Macaca fascicularis: one gene and its partners. The protein of the gene in region 2 purifies or fractionates together with the protein of the main gene of each other region. This does not show direct contact. Links are inferred from orthologs where the notes say so. Each region holds a gene or a part of one and is shown on either strand. Other genes may lie near its edges.

Region 1 (3,500 bases), on a different chromosome or scaffold from region 2:
ACCAGCAATATAGGAGTGCCGTTTTTTAATTTTTATTCTTGCCAATAATGGGTTATAAATGTTTCAACATTTGCTAACCTGACAGGTGAAAAATCACCTCTTTTAGATTTCTGTATTTTTATTTGGAAATACTGCTGAAACTGTTTTTATAGTTTTGGCCACTCATTTTTTGTAAGCAATTTTACACCCTTTGTCCATTTTCCTAGTGTCTTTTTCTTATTTCTATTATTTCTCTGTGTAGTAAGCAAATTAGTCATTTGTTACAGTTTCCAGTATCAAGTCTTATTTAGAAAGTCCTTTCTGCTCAAAAGTTTATAAATTTCACCTCTGCTTTATGGTTTCTTTTTCTACACTTCTTGGATCCATTTGGAATTTGTTCTGGATGTGAGGATTGAGATAGAATTTTTTTTTTTAAATCCCTGAATAATTAGGCAATGGTTATAGTTCCATTTATTTTATAATTTCTCTTTGCCGCACTGATTTTAAACAACATCTTTATCAGAAACTAAAAATTTCCATACATAATTGGGTCTACATATAAACTCTACTCTGTTTAATTGTTCTTATTTATTTAATTATTTTTCCCTCTAGTATCAAACTGTTTCAACTATTTCAGCTTTTTAACAGGTTTTAAGATCTGGGAGAACTACAAACCCTCTACCACTTATCTTCATTTTCAAGTTGTTCTTCTTGGTTGTTCTTGTATGTCTATGATTCCAAATGAACTTTGGTATCATTCTGTCATTTGTTTTTAATTAAACAAACAACAAAACAACCCTGCTGTTTCCACTGGGATGCCATGCAATTCAGACGAAAGTCTTCCCATCCAAAAACGGACTGATTCTTTCCTTTACTTAAATCTTGTTCTATGTCCCTCAGTAGAATTTTGCACATACAAGTCCTACACATTTCTTATTTAATTCATACATAAATACTTTATAGTTTCTTCCATTATATTTTCTAACAGGTTATCATTTATTTCCTATCATAGTAGGAAAACTATTTGCTTTTATGTATTCATTTTATAATCTACCATCTTACTGAATTTAATTGTTTCTAACTTTTTATCAGGTAATTTTCCTGGGTATACTAGACATAAAATTTTATCCTGCTACCTCACAGAAATTTTGCCTCTTCCTTTCCAATATTTACAACTTTTTTTTTTTTTTTTTTTTTGAGACAGTCTCACTCTGTTGCCCAGGCTGGAGTGCAGTGGCTCAATCTCGGCTCACTGCAACCTCCACCTCCTGGGTTCAAGGGTTCAAGCTATTCTCCTGCCTCAGCCTCCCAAGTAGCTGGGATAACAGGCACCCACCACCATGCCCCGCTAATTTTTGTATTTTTAGTAGAGAAGGGGTTTCACCCTGTTGGCCAGGCTAGTCTCCAACTCCGGATCTCAAATGATCCACCCACCTCAGACTTCCAAAGTGCTGGGACAAGAGGCGTGAGCCACCATGCCCAGCCTACATTTCATTTCTTTTTACTGTCTAATTGCACCATCAAGAACTTCAAAAACAATGTTATGCATTTGTAGTGATCATGGGTATCCTTGTGTTGTTTTATTCAATGGGAATGTTTTTATTGCCTGGCTTATTTTTGTACTTTAGTAGAGACGGGGTTTCGCCATGTTGGCCAGGCTGGTCTCCAACTCCTGACCTCAGGTGATCCACTCACCTCATGCCTCCCAAAGTGCTGGGATTACAGGCATGAGCCACCGCGTCTGGCCATCTATTCCTACTTTTAAAAACAGTTTTTAAAATTAGAAATAGTTGCTGACTTTTCACAGTATTAAAAATATTTGTGGCTGGGTACAGCAGCTCATGCCTGTAATTCTAGCACTTTGGAAGGCCGAGGTGGGTAGACTGCCCACACACAGGAGTTAAGAGAACAGCCTGGGCAACATAGTAAAAACCTGTGAACAGAGGAGTTACAGACCAGCCTGAGCAACACGGCAAGGACGTGTCTCTGCTAAAAAACTTTTAAAAAATTGGCCAGGTGTGGTGGCATGTGCTTGTGGTCCCAGATGCTCAGGAGGCTGAGGTAGGAGGATTGTTTGAGCTTGGGAGGTTGAGGCCGCAGTGAGCTGTGATTGCACTACTGCACTCCAGCCTGGGTGACAGAGAGACCCTATCTCAAAAAAAAAAAAAAATTGCCTTCCTATTTGTACTACTATATTTTTAACATATCCTCCATTTAAATCTTTAAGAGTTTAGTTTTATTGGTGCATAAACATTTATTGTTTTCTCAAACAATACACTGAGTATAGTAAATAAGTCATCTTCAAAGCCAGATGAAAGCACACTCTAACCCACAATGTTACTGTCTATACATGACCATTGACTAGTTCACGGTTACAGCTAGCTAGCTAGGTCTCCCAGAATGGAAGTATATTACCCAGTGATGAATATTAGTCAACTTCGCCAGGAAATAGCAAGAGCTATTAGATATTTTCAGAATTTTATAATGGTGACCAAAAAAAAAAAAAAGTAAAACAAGTCCCTCTAGCATGGCATTTATTTTCTCAGATGTTTCTCTTTGTCATTTTAAATACATGTGCATATATCCAATGCAGAGATTAAAAAAAAAAAAAAAAACCCGAACTCCTGTGATAATGAAAATGTCTCGAGCCCAATATATTACCTGCAATATGTCTCTATGCCGCTGTAATGTATGCATCAGGGCCGCATTCAAGGAGGGGACACCTGCACTGTTGGTATATTCTGCCATTTTATCGTTTACCCCTGTAAGCTAGAAATAAAGAAAAAAAAATATTTTACTAAGCACTATAAACAGCTAAAAGCAAATTATTTGCCTATATGCCCTTTTGGTTGACAGCAAAACAAAACAAAACAAAAAACAAACAAGATATCAAGTAAGAATTAAGCATTCCCCCACATAATCCATAAAGACCAAAATAACATCGTATCACCTGAGAATGGCTGTCATCAAAATTCAAGTGGTGTGGGGAGGTACACATCTTGAATGGAATGGATAATTTCATTAAACATGTCTGTCTCAATACAATCCAGGATCCTATCTAACAAGTATACAGTTATTTGCAAAACAGCCATTTAACAAAGCACTTACCCTTGCCAAAAGTTGTTCAATCTCGATCGCCATTGTCTCAAACATTCTGTCTTGGCTTGATCCATTTAAAAGAGGTGTTGTATCAGAACTAAAAAGAAGTTCAGTTAAAGAGGATCCATTACTCAAATGCAGTCCTTTAAAACATACTTAAAATAATAAGGTAATTAATATGAACCATAAAATGAATTATGGATTATGTTATATAGGGTCTGTGAGAAACAATCTTTTACATTTTTACCTCAAAGGAATTATGGTTCCTTCAACCTCAACTTTAAGTTCTCTCTTCTTTCCTTGACTCTTACCAAGAGGAAATAAGATTGAGGTTTAAATGATCCACAGATTGGATAACTAGCTAACGAATACTCAGGAACTGGCTTTACATTCAATATATACAGCCACCTGCATACTTTGGT
Region 2 (4,148 bases):
AGATACCTATGCAATCTCCACCACCACAAAAACCACAACAAAATATTGGAGAAGTATTTTCCAAACAGAAGAGAGTTGTACTATCTGAATTTTCCTGCTGACACACTATCCATAAAGCTCTCCACATGTGTTATTATAAAAGAACTCAAGGAGTGGGCATATTTTTTCCCCCAGTCAACAATTAAAGTTACCATTTAAAAACGCATTCCTACTCTATTAATCAATGATACTCTGTGCAAACTGTAGTTTAATAAGGGCCAAGATACTTAAAGAAAAGAATAATGTCTTCTTATTTTGTGTGGCTGAGGTTCTGAGTATACAACATTTACCCAGTAAGTAATTACTGACTGGTTGAATGGAAACATTTGACAACTTCACCAAGGAATTCATTCTAAATTTTTTCTTTCCTATTTTCTTTCCTTTGTTTAGTTGCTTTTGCCTATCTTAATTTTAATTTTAGAGTTCTTCCATGCTGTTCCATTTATTCAAAGTGATATTCTTGTTGTATTTATTGCCAAAAATATATCAATGCACATTTCTATTGAAGAGTTGATCTTCCCTCAAACTATGACCCATCCCAAATACAATGAAAAAAGTAAAAAACAAATAAAATGCTAGAATTGCTATTCCAAACAGAGCCACTTCCCTTCTGGTGGTGTACTGCTATGAAAAGTTGTAAAAAAGCTAGTGATTACTGAAGATCATCCTCAGCCTTTGTTTATTTAGATAAACGCTACTTCTTTTGGATGGGTTCTATCAGTAAGCTAACAAAACCAGTTATCATGTGAAGTGTGGCAACTTCTGCCTACAGATATCTATCAGATTCACTATGATCCCAAATTTAAAATTTCAGGTCAATATACATTCATACTTTAAAAATAAGAAAAGAAAAAATGTTTTGTTTTTTTTTTTTTTTTAAAGAGTAGGTAGTGGGTTCTAAATTAGTGAAATTCTAATTTAACTGGCTGAGCTGAGGTCCAGGAAACAATACTTTAAAAATTTCCCAGGGGATTCTAATGTACAGTCAGGGCTGAGAATCATTACTCAAGTCACTTTCCTGTAATTTAACATGGCACACTGCAGCAGAAAAATGCTCAAAAGGGCCTAGGGGCCTACTGATGAAATCCAAACTCTTTGGCCTCGCATGCGAAGATCTCCACAGTGTGATCCCGCATCACTTACTTCACCCAAACTGGTTTAATCATAATCCCTTATTTCTTTTTAGTTCCTCCTATCTGGAACCCACTTCCCCTACTCTCAATTATTCAAGGTCTACTTCAAATTCCTATGTCTCCACAAAATACACAAGGATCTTCTCCACAAAGTACACAGTAATCTGTCTCTGAAATCTCTGAGACCATCCCTTGTATGTAGAACCTATCTGGTATTTGGATGTATAGCGACTACTTTGTACTATAACTTATCTTTGCACATATTTCTACTCTCCAACTAGACTGGAAGCTTTGGGGATCGCAAACCGGGCAACAAACAACTGTATACCTAGAGCTTACTCAAGCACACAATAAATCTTTTTTTGTCATTAATGATGATGAACAAGAAAAACATTTACACATATAAAACCAAACTTACTCAAAATTCTTTCTTTTTTTTTTCTCATCAATTTACCTGGCCCCACTTTCTATGATCCAAGTATTCATAAAAACTTCATTAAAAAAAACAAAAAACTTTTTCATACTACAATTTATTAATAAATAAACAAGTCTATGGTTATTGGCAACTTTCATTATATCTGACACATTGGGGAATTTGTTTTTCTTTCTTCAATCTTATAATGACTGAGAAAGGTAACACTATCTTTTTTCAAAAGTTTCATTTATTTTCTGAAGTATACTGCACTCTTAATTTAGCAGGGTCTTCTTTAAAAAAAAAAAAAATAAAAAATAAATCGTGTCCTAAGAGAAAGCTTCAGAATCAGAAAATGCTGTTCTAGTAGCTGTGCGTTACTATAAGGGCCCATTAAAATTCCTTGGGTCTAACTTATTCTTGCTGATGAGCCACTTTACTAACCCCAAAGGTAAAGATCAAATGTTAAGTCGCCAAACCTTATCACGTTCTACTGCCTTAACCGTGGCACAAGGTTCAGATTAAGAAATCGCCTTTGACCCAGAAGTTACAGTTCCAGGACCTTTAACAATAATGACACGTACATTTATTTACCTTTGTAACTCACTGTTACCAGACTAACGACCACTACTACTAGTGTGTTTTGCGTGCAACCACCCACTCTTCAAATTCCACTTCTGAAGAAACTAAGATCCAGGGCCAGTAGAGGAAGAGAAACCGGAGTCGGGCTTTGGAAAACATAGCAGTGTCCATAACCACGCTCAGGCAATAACACTAAGACACTCGACCACTGAGATGCCACCTGTACACACCCACCCCCAGTCCACTACTTTCTCTAGCCTACCATCCAAACTTGAATCTGACTCAGACTTAAGGAAACTCCAAGGAACTGGGACAAATGGTATGTTTCCATTCGACTTGGCCCACAAAGATCCCCTCTAGACAGCCTGTTTTTTGGACCAAATGCCAGGAACAGAAGACAGGTTCGATTTCTTTCCGCGCCCAGCATGGCCGGTTCTAGGGCCCCGAACTTCGAACCTCAGCCCTCTTCTTACCCAGGCCTGCACGCCTCATCCTGCCAGAGGAGAGAGAGAAAAGGCGGGCGCGGGGGGTTGGGTGAGTAGGAAAGAGCTGTGACCCCGACCGCGTCTTCAGTACCAGGGCCGGGCGAAACACCAACTTCTTCCCCTAAAGCGCCACGACATCAGTGTAGTCTAAACACCGCGCCTGCTGATGGCGTCACCAGGGCGCTCATTGGAGCCCTGGGAAGAAGGTTGAATGGCATTCTGGGAAATGTAGTTCACCGACGCATAAAGTGTTGTTGAGGGCGTGGTGTGAGCCAGGTTCCAGGGGCGGCCGGGGCTTCCGGTAAAGGGGCCGGCTTCTACTGCTGCTCCGACAACGTTCCAGCTGCTCCGCTCGCAGCTTCAGGTAGCTGCTTTCAGTTTGTTAACCACCAAGATTAACCCAGCAGATCTGCTCCTCCCGACCCACAAGAGGGTGGTTGGGGTATCTTTCCTGATTCAGCCTCGTACTCCCTCTCACCTCCAGAGGCAGTTGAGGGAAAGTTAGACAAAACTTTGTTCAGGTTTCTCAGTTTACAAACAAGTAATCCGACACCCACAGAAGTAACCGATGTGTGCCTCGTAGTATCCGGTAAAGGAGAGAAAACCAGGTGCCTTTGAGTAGGACTCCTGCTCGGATAAGAGCCAACTAGGAAAGGCGCGGGGTCTCGTCGGAGGCACTGAATAATTTGTGAATAGTTAGTTCCCTGTTACTGCATCTGTTGTACTTCTAGAAGGAACCAAGACTTTTAGTTGTTATAGGGACCAAAGGACCCCTAAACTCCCTCCCACTTAACTTTTTACACAAAGCAGTGTGCCAGTTTAGGGGTTTAAAAGCTTGCTGGCGAGTTGGAGGTGTTACTGGTATCGGGGTTAATCCTAGAATTTCATTTTATCTCACAGGATTATTTATCGTGAGAATACGATGAAATCATGGTTTTTGAAGGAAAAAAAAAAACCTGATACACAGGAGGCCATCAAAATCCACTGGGTGTCTGCGGTTTTGTTGTTGCTGCTGTATATATGGCAGTGGAATCGTCTCCACACTAGAGTTTCCGAATATGTGATCTCTGATCACTTAGCGTTTCCTCATAGTTTCCCAGGACATTATTAACATTGACTATAACAGTGGCATAAGTCTCTGCGTTAAGTTGCTCTGGTAAAAAACACACGAAAACAATTTTTGATAAGAGTTATTAACCTGGGAAGGAAGCTTTATCCAATAGTGTTTTGATAGAAAAAAATCGCCATTTTCTAAAAGCAATGGAATTAACTGAGCATAATATCAGGGACAATTATTACAAATAAAAGATGAAGATTCAATAAAAGAAATGATAGCTAGGTATCCCTTTATGAGTTAAAATCTGTGACGTCCTCTGGTTAAAAAAATTGCATATTATATAATTAAAACATGTTTAAAAATTGTCTTACTGAAAGTTTGCTGATAGAAATGTAGAAACCGTTATTTTTGAAAATATGTTAATATTTACCAGAACTAAC
Region 3 (3,500 bases), on a different chromosome or scaffold from region 2:
GAAATAAAATTCTTTGAAGGCTTTATAAAAGGTCTTACTCATGCACGTATGATGTGTATCATGTATCCTGGGAAGACATCCAGACTCTCGGACAGACATTTATCTCTACACTGGTATTTTCTCAATACTAAGGTAGTCCATAGATGGCTTAATAGAATCATAATTTTTTAAAAGCTGCAGTAGGAGGGAGTATGTTCCCTCATCCTAGCACAAACAGTAAGGACAATATTATTTTTTTCAAAAAGGAATTATTCTAATTTATACATTACAAATGCTACCAAACTGATACATTAATTTTCTTTCTCTGGGCCAGACATGGTGGCTCACACCTATAATCCTAGTACTTTAGGAGGCCAAGGCAGGCAGATTACTTGAGACCAGGAGTTTGAGACCAGCCTGGACAACATGGTGAAACCCTGTCTCTGCTAAAAGTACAAAAAATTGGCCGGTTGGGGTGGCACATGCCTGTAATCCCAGCTACTCAGGAAGCTGAGGCATGAGAATCGCTTGAATCTGGGAGATGGAGATTGCAATGAGCCGAGATCATGCCATTGCACTCCAGTCTGGGCGACAGAGGGAGACTGTCTCAAAAAGAAAAAAATAAAATTTCTTTCTCGTACGCTCTGCCAGCATTACCTAAGCATTTTGAGAACAAACTCACTAAGAACAGGGTAGCAGCCCAAGTCTACAATGTAAGCCTTACTTCAAGTTGCCTGATAGAAGATTCTCTCTCATGAATAAGGCGGAGGTCATCCTCTGTAATTTCTTCATCCTGCACCTGCACTTGAGGTTGAGTTTGGCTAACAGAAAAAAATGAATGTGGAAAAAAACAAAGATTGGTATTCAAAACAATGAGATTCATTTCCTATTTAAGATATATTCATTAAATAGGACGTTTTACTCTTCAAAGTCGCAGAACTACTCACTTAAAAAATTCTAAGACTATAACAGATATATGAATAAAATTTTATTCATTTTTCATTTCACTTATATCATTTTATCTAACGTGAGTTTAGAGTTATTACTTAATTATTGGAAGCTATATTTGTCAACTGGGTATTTCTTCTTAGTTGATTTAAACCTCATATAAGGGAAAGTCTATATTATTAATTAAGTCCATAAACATTTATTTGGAAAATTTTATATATTTTATGATAAATACTTTATAATTAAATTTTTTTTCAAATTTACTCTGTTTTCAACATATAAACAACTTATATTGAAAGCTTTAATTCTGTTCCAGGGGCCTTAATGTATAAACTTTGAAAAATTACCTTTTGATCTGAAAAATGTTTTGTATTTCTTACCTTTCCCAGGATACAAGATTCCTTTCTTTTGAGCTGTCCTCAGGAAAACCGCCCTGAATGATTTAGTAACAGGATGGAATGAGAAGTGGCAAAGAAAGCAAAAATGAGAAAAAATAAACACTCATATTTTCCCTAATAATCTAAACGATTTATGTACATGTCTCTGTGTGTGTGTGTGTGTGTGTGTGTGTGTGTGTGTGTGTGTGGTGTGTGTAGAGAGAGAGAGAAAGAAGTTCTTGTTCTAATTTTTCAGGTCAACTGCTTCAAGTAATAACATAATTATAAGTAATTTTATATTCTAAGTAGACAAACACTAAACATTCTCAAGGGTCAAATAAGTATTATTTAGTTAAAGCTTAATGTAGTCTTGGAATTCATATGTTAATGAATAAGAAAACTCGTGATAGTTTGTAAGGGAATTTAAAATTAAATTAATTCAAAATTCTATTGTAAAGCTTCCTTTCATTTATTTTCTCCAGGCTCATGTTCATTTTCAATATTCAGACAACATAGTTGCGCCATTCATCTCCGTCATCTTGGTGTAATCCAGGAGGAAAGTGCTTTCTATACTAGTGTGTCCACAAGCAGAAAGCCTCCGTACCAAGACGATGTGAGAATACTACTCAGGGTTTGATCCCTCATCTTTTTTGACAAAATACGTCTCTATATTTTTATATAGTCTGTAATCTTCTGTACAATGACACAGAAAAAAAACCACAGTAATACATAATTATCATCTTCTCCAAAAATGGAGCAGAAAAGCATAAAAATGAATATTCAAGTGCTGATTTCCAAGTTAGTCACAGATCTTTATGACTTAAAAAATTATGCTACTATAGACTTTGATAGGACCCTTAGGAAGTAAGGGTCGTTTCTAGAATGTCTTTTAAAATACTCACAGACACTCTGGAACTGGCTCTTACTCGAGCAACAAACTCTTTCTCTCGCTCAGCCGCTTGCCTCTGAACCTTCTGGAAGTTTGTCAGTGATGCTGTGAACTCTGCCACTAAGCGATCCTTCTGTATTTTCCTTTGACGCTAGAGGAAAGAGAAGAAAAAGCCAACTAGAATCTAGCTGTGAAGTAAAACAGTTTGCAGTACTTGGTTCTTTATTTAATCCTGAAGTTTTCACTTGCTCCCCAATTACAGGGCCTTACGGATTAACTCTCAACAACATTCTGACAGTATGTCAAATACCGAGCATATTTAACTGGAGGCAAAAGACCCATTATGCTGGATTTCTCACCTCAAGTTTTCATGCTGCTAAAAACTAGCTCATTATTTTGAGGCTATTTTAAAGTAATTCCTTTTCAGGCAAATAAAGCCTTATACTTTTAGCTAAGTAATAACTTCCATTAAATAAGCAGGGAAATAAATATATGCCCCCAGGACACCTCACATCTTGAATGAGCCTGCATGTTCCACGCACTCAGCCCCGGAAGGCCAGGAAATAATTACTCAGGAAGCATTTTCTGAGAACTTACTTAATTATGGGTCAGGGCAAATGCATGGAAATAATTTTTGCTTTATTGAACCACAGGATACTACCTGAGCAATTAAATATAGTTTTGTGTTCTATGAACTAATCTCAAACAGAATTATTTTTGATTTCCTTTCTAGCATAATTTCCTTTCTAGCGTAACAGTTCAAAGATCCTACAACGTATTTGGTTTTTTTCACATTCAATGCATCAACAATGTGTCTTAAAGCTTGATACCTGTTCACTGGGGGTGGTGGGCAGAGATCCAAACTCTTTAATGTACTTATCTGTTTCTTTGGCAAGCTGGTTAGTATACTGCTGCTTCTGTTGCCTAAAGTGAGAAAGCACGCATTACAACCAAAGGACTAATACACTTCTTTAAGCTACAACTCTGTCATTTGAATCAACACTGACAAAGAGTTGTACAAAAATTGCCTTTTCATAAACTGGCTCTCAACTTTCTCTATCAAAAAAATTTCATATCCTATTCTTTGATAAATATTGAGCAAATATTACATGTCAGGTTCTTCACTGACACAGGGTAGGTGAGCTTAGAGAAACCAGTATCAATGACCATTTAGAAACACAGATGACTCAAATCAGAGGGAACTTGAAGGAGAGACTGTTGGATGTCTGATCCTTTGTTTGAGATACTGGGGATGTGGCAGCCCTTAATCTGCATCTCACACCTGGAAGGTCAGGTGAGCAAGAAAA
Region 4 (3,500 bases), on a different chromosome or scaffold from region 2:
CTGACTGCACTCTGCCTCGGGGGCTTAATGATTCAGCGTGGAATGAGTTTTGTTGTTAGGGTGGACAGAAAAACCCTATGGCAAAATCACTGATTTCCCTGAGTGTGCCCTTTGGAATCCCACAAGTCTTATCCCCCATTACCCCTCCACTCAACCTGACATGGCCCTATGGGAATGGAAGCGCTTGCCTCCATCTGTCTTAATCTAATTACCTAGTCCTTAGAGGAATGTACTCCATAAAAATTCAGAGATGTTTAACTGGAATTGGCCATTTCTTCTGAGCTGAGAACTGTGGCTTTTAAGGAGGATTATTCAGAAACGAACAGCAATATTAATTAGTTTAGTTCCCACAGCATGGTTTCTTTTGAGAAGCATGCTGGATTTTTGTTTTTTTTGGTTTTTTTTTTTTTTTCTATTCTAAGGAAAGATCTTTTTTCTGAGTCAGTCATATGGACACCACCTGCGGGGACTGCCTACCCACCCCACTGCTGGGCTCCCTCCGGACCCATTCCTCCTGTTCTCTCACGTCTCCTTTCACAGCTTCAAAAGCAGCTCTGTTCTTGGTTCTGTGCCCCACCTTGTTCTAATCTCAACTGTCTTTGTTTACTGTGGGCGCAAAGGCCTAGGAAGGGGCAGTGTCACTGCTGTCACTTCTTTATGGGCAAGAAGCAGTCTGGATGCTTTCTTTTGTGCACAGTTTAGCTTTTTTGTTCATTGGACTTTGTTTGCCTTCTCAGCAATCTCGTTACATGATTAGAAATGGAAAGAGGTCATTTTGACTGTCTTATCGAAAGAGATAAGGAAAATGACCGTATTTATCATATCTCTTTACCTCTGTGGATTCTTTCCTGGGCCTTTCCTATTGATATTTGGTCTATTTTGGGGACGTCAACATTGCTCAGCCCACCCATTCTTACAGAAAGCCTTAAGGGAGCTCTCCTCTGTATGTTTCACATACTAATCTTCCCCTTCCTTTATGCTTTTTTTTTTTTAATTAAAAAAAAAAAAAAAACTCATTACTATAGGGAATTCAACTGGCAGTCTTTTTACTAGGTATTTATAATCCACGTCTGAGAAATCCAAAGGAAAAGAGACCTATATCAGAAAATTTAGCTTAAAGTATTTATTTGTACAACCTTTGCATGTTTATTTTCTAAAGGTAGGAAATTTATTTCTACAGATTTACCTTCAGCTTTTTAAAAAAATTGGCATTGTTGTGTCATTAACAACTATATACATGTACTTTTTTCAAAACAACATTTACGGCATAATTTGAATTTTTTCTGTTATTCATTAGTGTATACATTTTTCTCCTTTTGAAATATGTAGTTCTAGTTTATTGGATATTGAAAAAAAAATCTGTAATTTATTCTAATTTAAGTTCACTATCTCTTTTCCAGCAATTATTCTTTTTTCTTTTTTGTACAGTAGTAGAAAACGAAATCCAAGCAAGCATAGACCAGATATTCAGCCGTCTAGAACGTCTGGAGATTTTGTCCAGCAAGGAGCCCCCTAACAAAAGGCAAAATGCCAAACTGTAAGTGCTGACCTCTGACATGGCACTGCTACTCCAGGCCTGGCAAGATAGGCTTTTCTCCTGGGGGGGGGGAGGCGATAGAATATTCTGAAAACCCACGTACATGTTGAAAAACTACGACTATGTAAAGAAAAAGTCCCCCCAAAGGGCACAGTTGTATCTGAGTAATGCTCCTCAAAATAAATAGCCTGTGAGGTTTGTGACTCAGAAACCTTGTGACCCCTTTGGTGTCATTTTGAAATTCTGCCTCCAGTTCTGTTTTTCTGACTAGACCCATAGCCACCTGAAGCCTAATGTTGCCATGGAGTTTTGTTCTGCTCTTTGGTTCCTGCTGGGTTCTTCTTGGGTTGAAATGAAAAATCACTTGAATCAGTCCACCCATAATGAAATGCTGATCTAATGTTTGATACTCCACCATGAAATTAAAATGAAACCACCTTCGCCACTCCACCCCCAGTGCCTGTTTCCAAAAGTTTTATGATACTTTGTGGATGCTTTACCTCAAAGATGCCCTTGGGCTTCTTCCAGGAGAGCGATATAATCCATAGAAGGTCAAGAAGAGGTCAGCGAGCCTGCTTCCTGTCCCCTGTTCCCTGTCATGCATCCAGAATCAGAGAGCAACAGATTCTGAAGTAAAGCTGCCAGAAGCTTGTGTGCTACCATCTCGCTTTAACCACACGTTACTTCTTTACTTTCAACATCATTGATCAAAATCAGATCTTGTGGTGGTGGGGTATAGCGTGGGGTGGTGTAGGGAGAAGTAAGGAAATGCTGTCTTTCCTGAATACAAAGCCTGGCCCCCTGAGACTCTGCTGCCCTGAGTTCCTGGAATTTAATCTCTCTCTCCATCAATTCCAGTCGGGTCGACCAGTTAAAGTATGATGTCCAGCACCTGCAGACTGCGCTCAGAAACTTCCAGCATCGGCGCCATGCAAGGGAGCAGCAGGAGAGACAGCGAGAAGAGCTTCTGTCTCGAACCTTCACCACTAACGTAAGCCAGGCCTGCGGTGAGGGTCGGCCTGCATTTGGCAGATTGTGGGGGCTGGAGTTCAGATCTCTGAGCGCCATCTGTTTTGGGGGTATCTGAAGAAGACTGGTGATGAGGAAACCAACTGGAAATGACGGGAACTTTGTGCATTGCCACAGAGACTAGACCTCGACAGAGAATCCCTTTTTCTAAGACAAAAACCTGAAGAGGAAGCAGTTAAATTGAAGGGGAATAGGCAGAGGTGAAAATTACCTGGTTGGACTGGTCTGAGACAGAAAGGTGGAAGTTCACATAGTGGAAACGTTTTTCTGATCAGATAGAGACAGATGATTAGAACTTAGGCCATTTGTAGAGAAGGCGGTATTTCAGAGCTGCCTGCGGGCAGTGGCCGTTGTGCCGGGTATGTGTGTGGTTCCAGTGTCAGGTGCATTAAAATGTTTTTGCCCCTAGTCTGAGCAGCAATTTGGAGGAATTTGTTAACGGATGTGTAGGGTTAGACGGACTGCTTGCCTGAGTCTGTCTGAAAATGTGTTGGTGTGCACGTTGGATTTCTCAGAACCCATTGTCCCTGCCCTTTAGTCTTAACCAGATCATTTCCTGCACGTGGCTGTAGAACAGACTGGCCTTTTCTGTGTCCTGCATAATATATTCCACTAAGTGAAGTGTGCTTTGGCTTTTTGTATGTTGTTTTTTACAGAGGATTATTTTCTAAAGAGATGTTAGCTTTCTAAGCCTGTTGTTAAAATTCACATCATTTCCCGCTTTGTAGATGTTTAACCCTCAATGCTGCATCCTTGCTTTGCAGTAAATTTCCCCAAGTGTTTCAGGCTCTGCCAACGTTGTTTTGCTTCCCCAGACTAAGCAGTCAAGTCGCAGTGTTTAACAGTTCAAAAATTTAATGAACTATAAGACACACTAAAAGATGGTTGGATTTTAGATCGTTAATAATGTAGTATTCAGGCCTTTTTTAGACCA

The links. The genes of interacting proteins can lie anywhere in the genome.
Region 1: the proteins of BET1 (region 2) and GOSR1 purify together in Homo sapiens (affinity purification with mass spectrometry; 3 studies listed by BioGRID and IntAct, with this or other methods). This does not show direct contact. The link is inferred for Macaca fascicularis from reciprocal best matches to the Homo sapiens genes BET1 and GOSR1.
Region 3: the proteins of BET1 (region 2) and STX7 purify together in Homo sapiens (affinity purification with mass spectrometry; 3 studies listed by BioGRID and IntAct, with this or other methods). This does not show direct contact. The link is inferred for Macaca fascicularis from reciprocal best matches to the Homo sapiens genes BET1 and STX7.
Region 4: the proteins of BET1 (region 2) and GOSR2 purify together in Homo sapiens (affinity purification with mass spectrometry; 3 studies listed by BioGRID and IntAct, with this or other methods). This does not show direct contact. The link is inferred for Macaca fascicularis from reciprocal best matches to the Homo sapiens genes BET1 and GOSR2.

Annotation. Positions count from the first base shown.
Region 1 is NC_088390.1:36,007,629-36,011,128, reverse strand, and holds part of GOSR1 (Golgi SNAP receptor complex member 1), read right to left. Parts: intron 3,176-3,500; coding exon 3,088-3,175; intron 2,749-3,087; coding exon 2,641-2,748; intron 1-2,640. UniProt on the Homo sapiens protein: Involved in transport from the ER to the Golgi apparatus as well as in intra-Golgi transport. It belongs to a super-family of proteins called t-SNAREs or soluble NSF (N-ethylmaleimide-sensitive factor) attachment protein receptor.
Region 2 is NC_088377.1:127,321,444-127,325,591, reverse strand, and holds the start of BET1 (BET1 homolog), read right to left. Parts: upstream 2,801-4,148; 5' UTR 2,659-2,800; coding exon 2,640-2,658; intron 1-2,639. UniProt on the Homo sapiens protein: Required for vesicular transport from the ER to the Golgi complex. Functions as a SNARE involved in the docking process of ER-derived vesicles with the cis-Golgi membrane.
Region 3 is NC_088378.1:36,426,606-36,430,105, forward strand, and holds part of STX7 (syntaxin-7), read right to left. Parts: intron 3,118-3,500; coding exon 3,024-3,117; intron 2,345-3,023; coding exon 2,207-2,344; intron 1,361-2,206; coding exon 1,308-1,360; intron 801-1,307; coding exon 704-800; intron 1-703. UniProt on the Homo sapiens protein: May be involved in protein trafficking from the plasma membrane to the early endosome (EE) as well as in homotypic fusion of endocytic organelles. Mediates the endocytic trafficking from early endosomes to late endosomes and lysosomes.
Region 4 is NC_088390.1:66,846,360-66,849,859, reverse strand, and holds part of GOSR2 (Golgi SNAP receptor complex member 2), read left to right. Parts: intron 1-1,400; coding exon 1,401-1,537; intron 1,538-2,395; coding exon 2,396-2,528; intron 2,529-3,500. UniProt on the Homo sapiens protein: Involved in transport of proteins from the cis/medial-Golgi to the trans-Golgi network.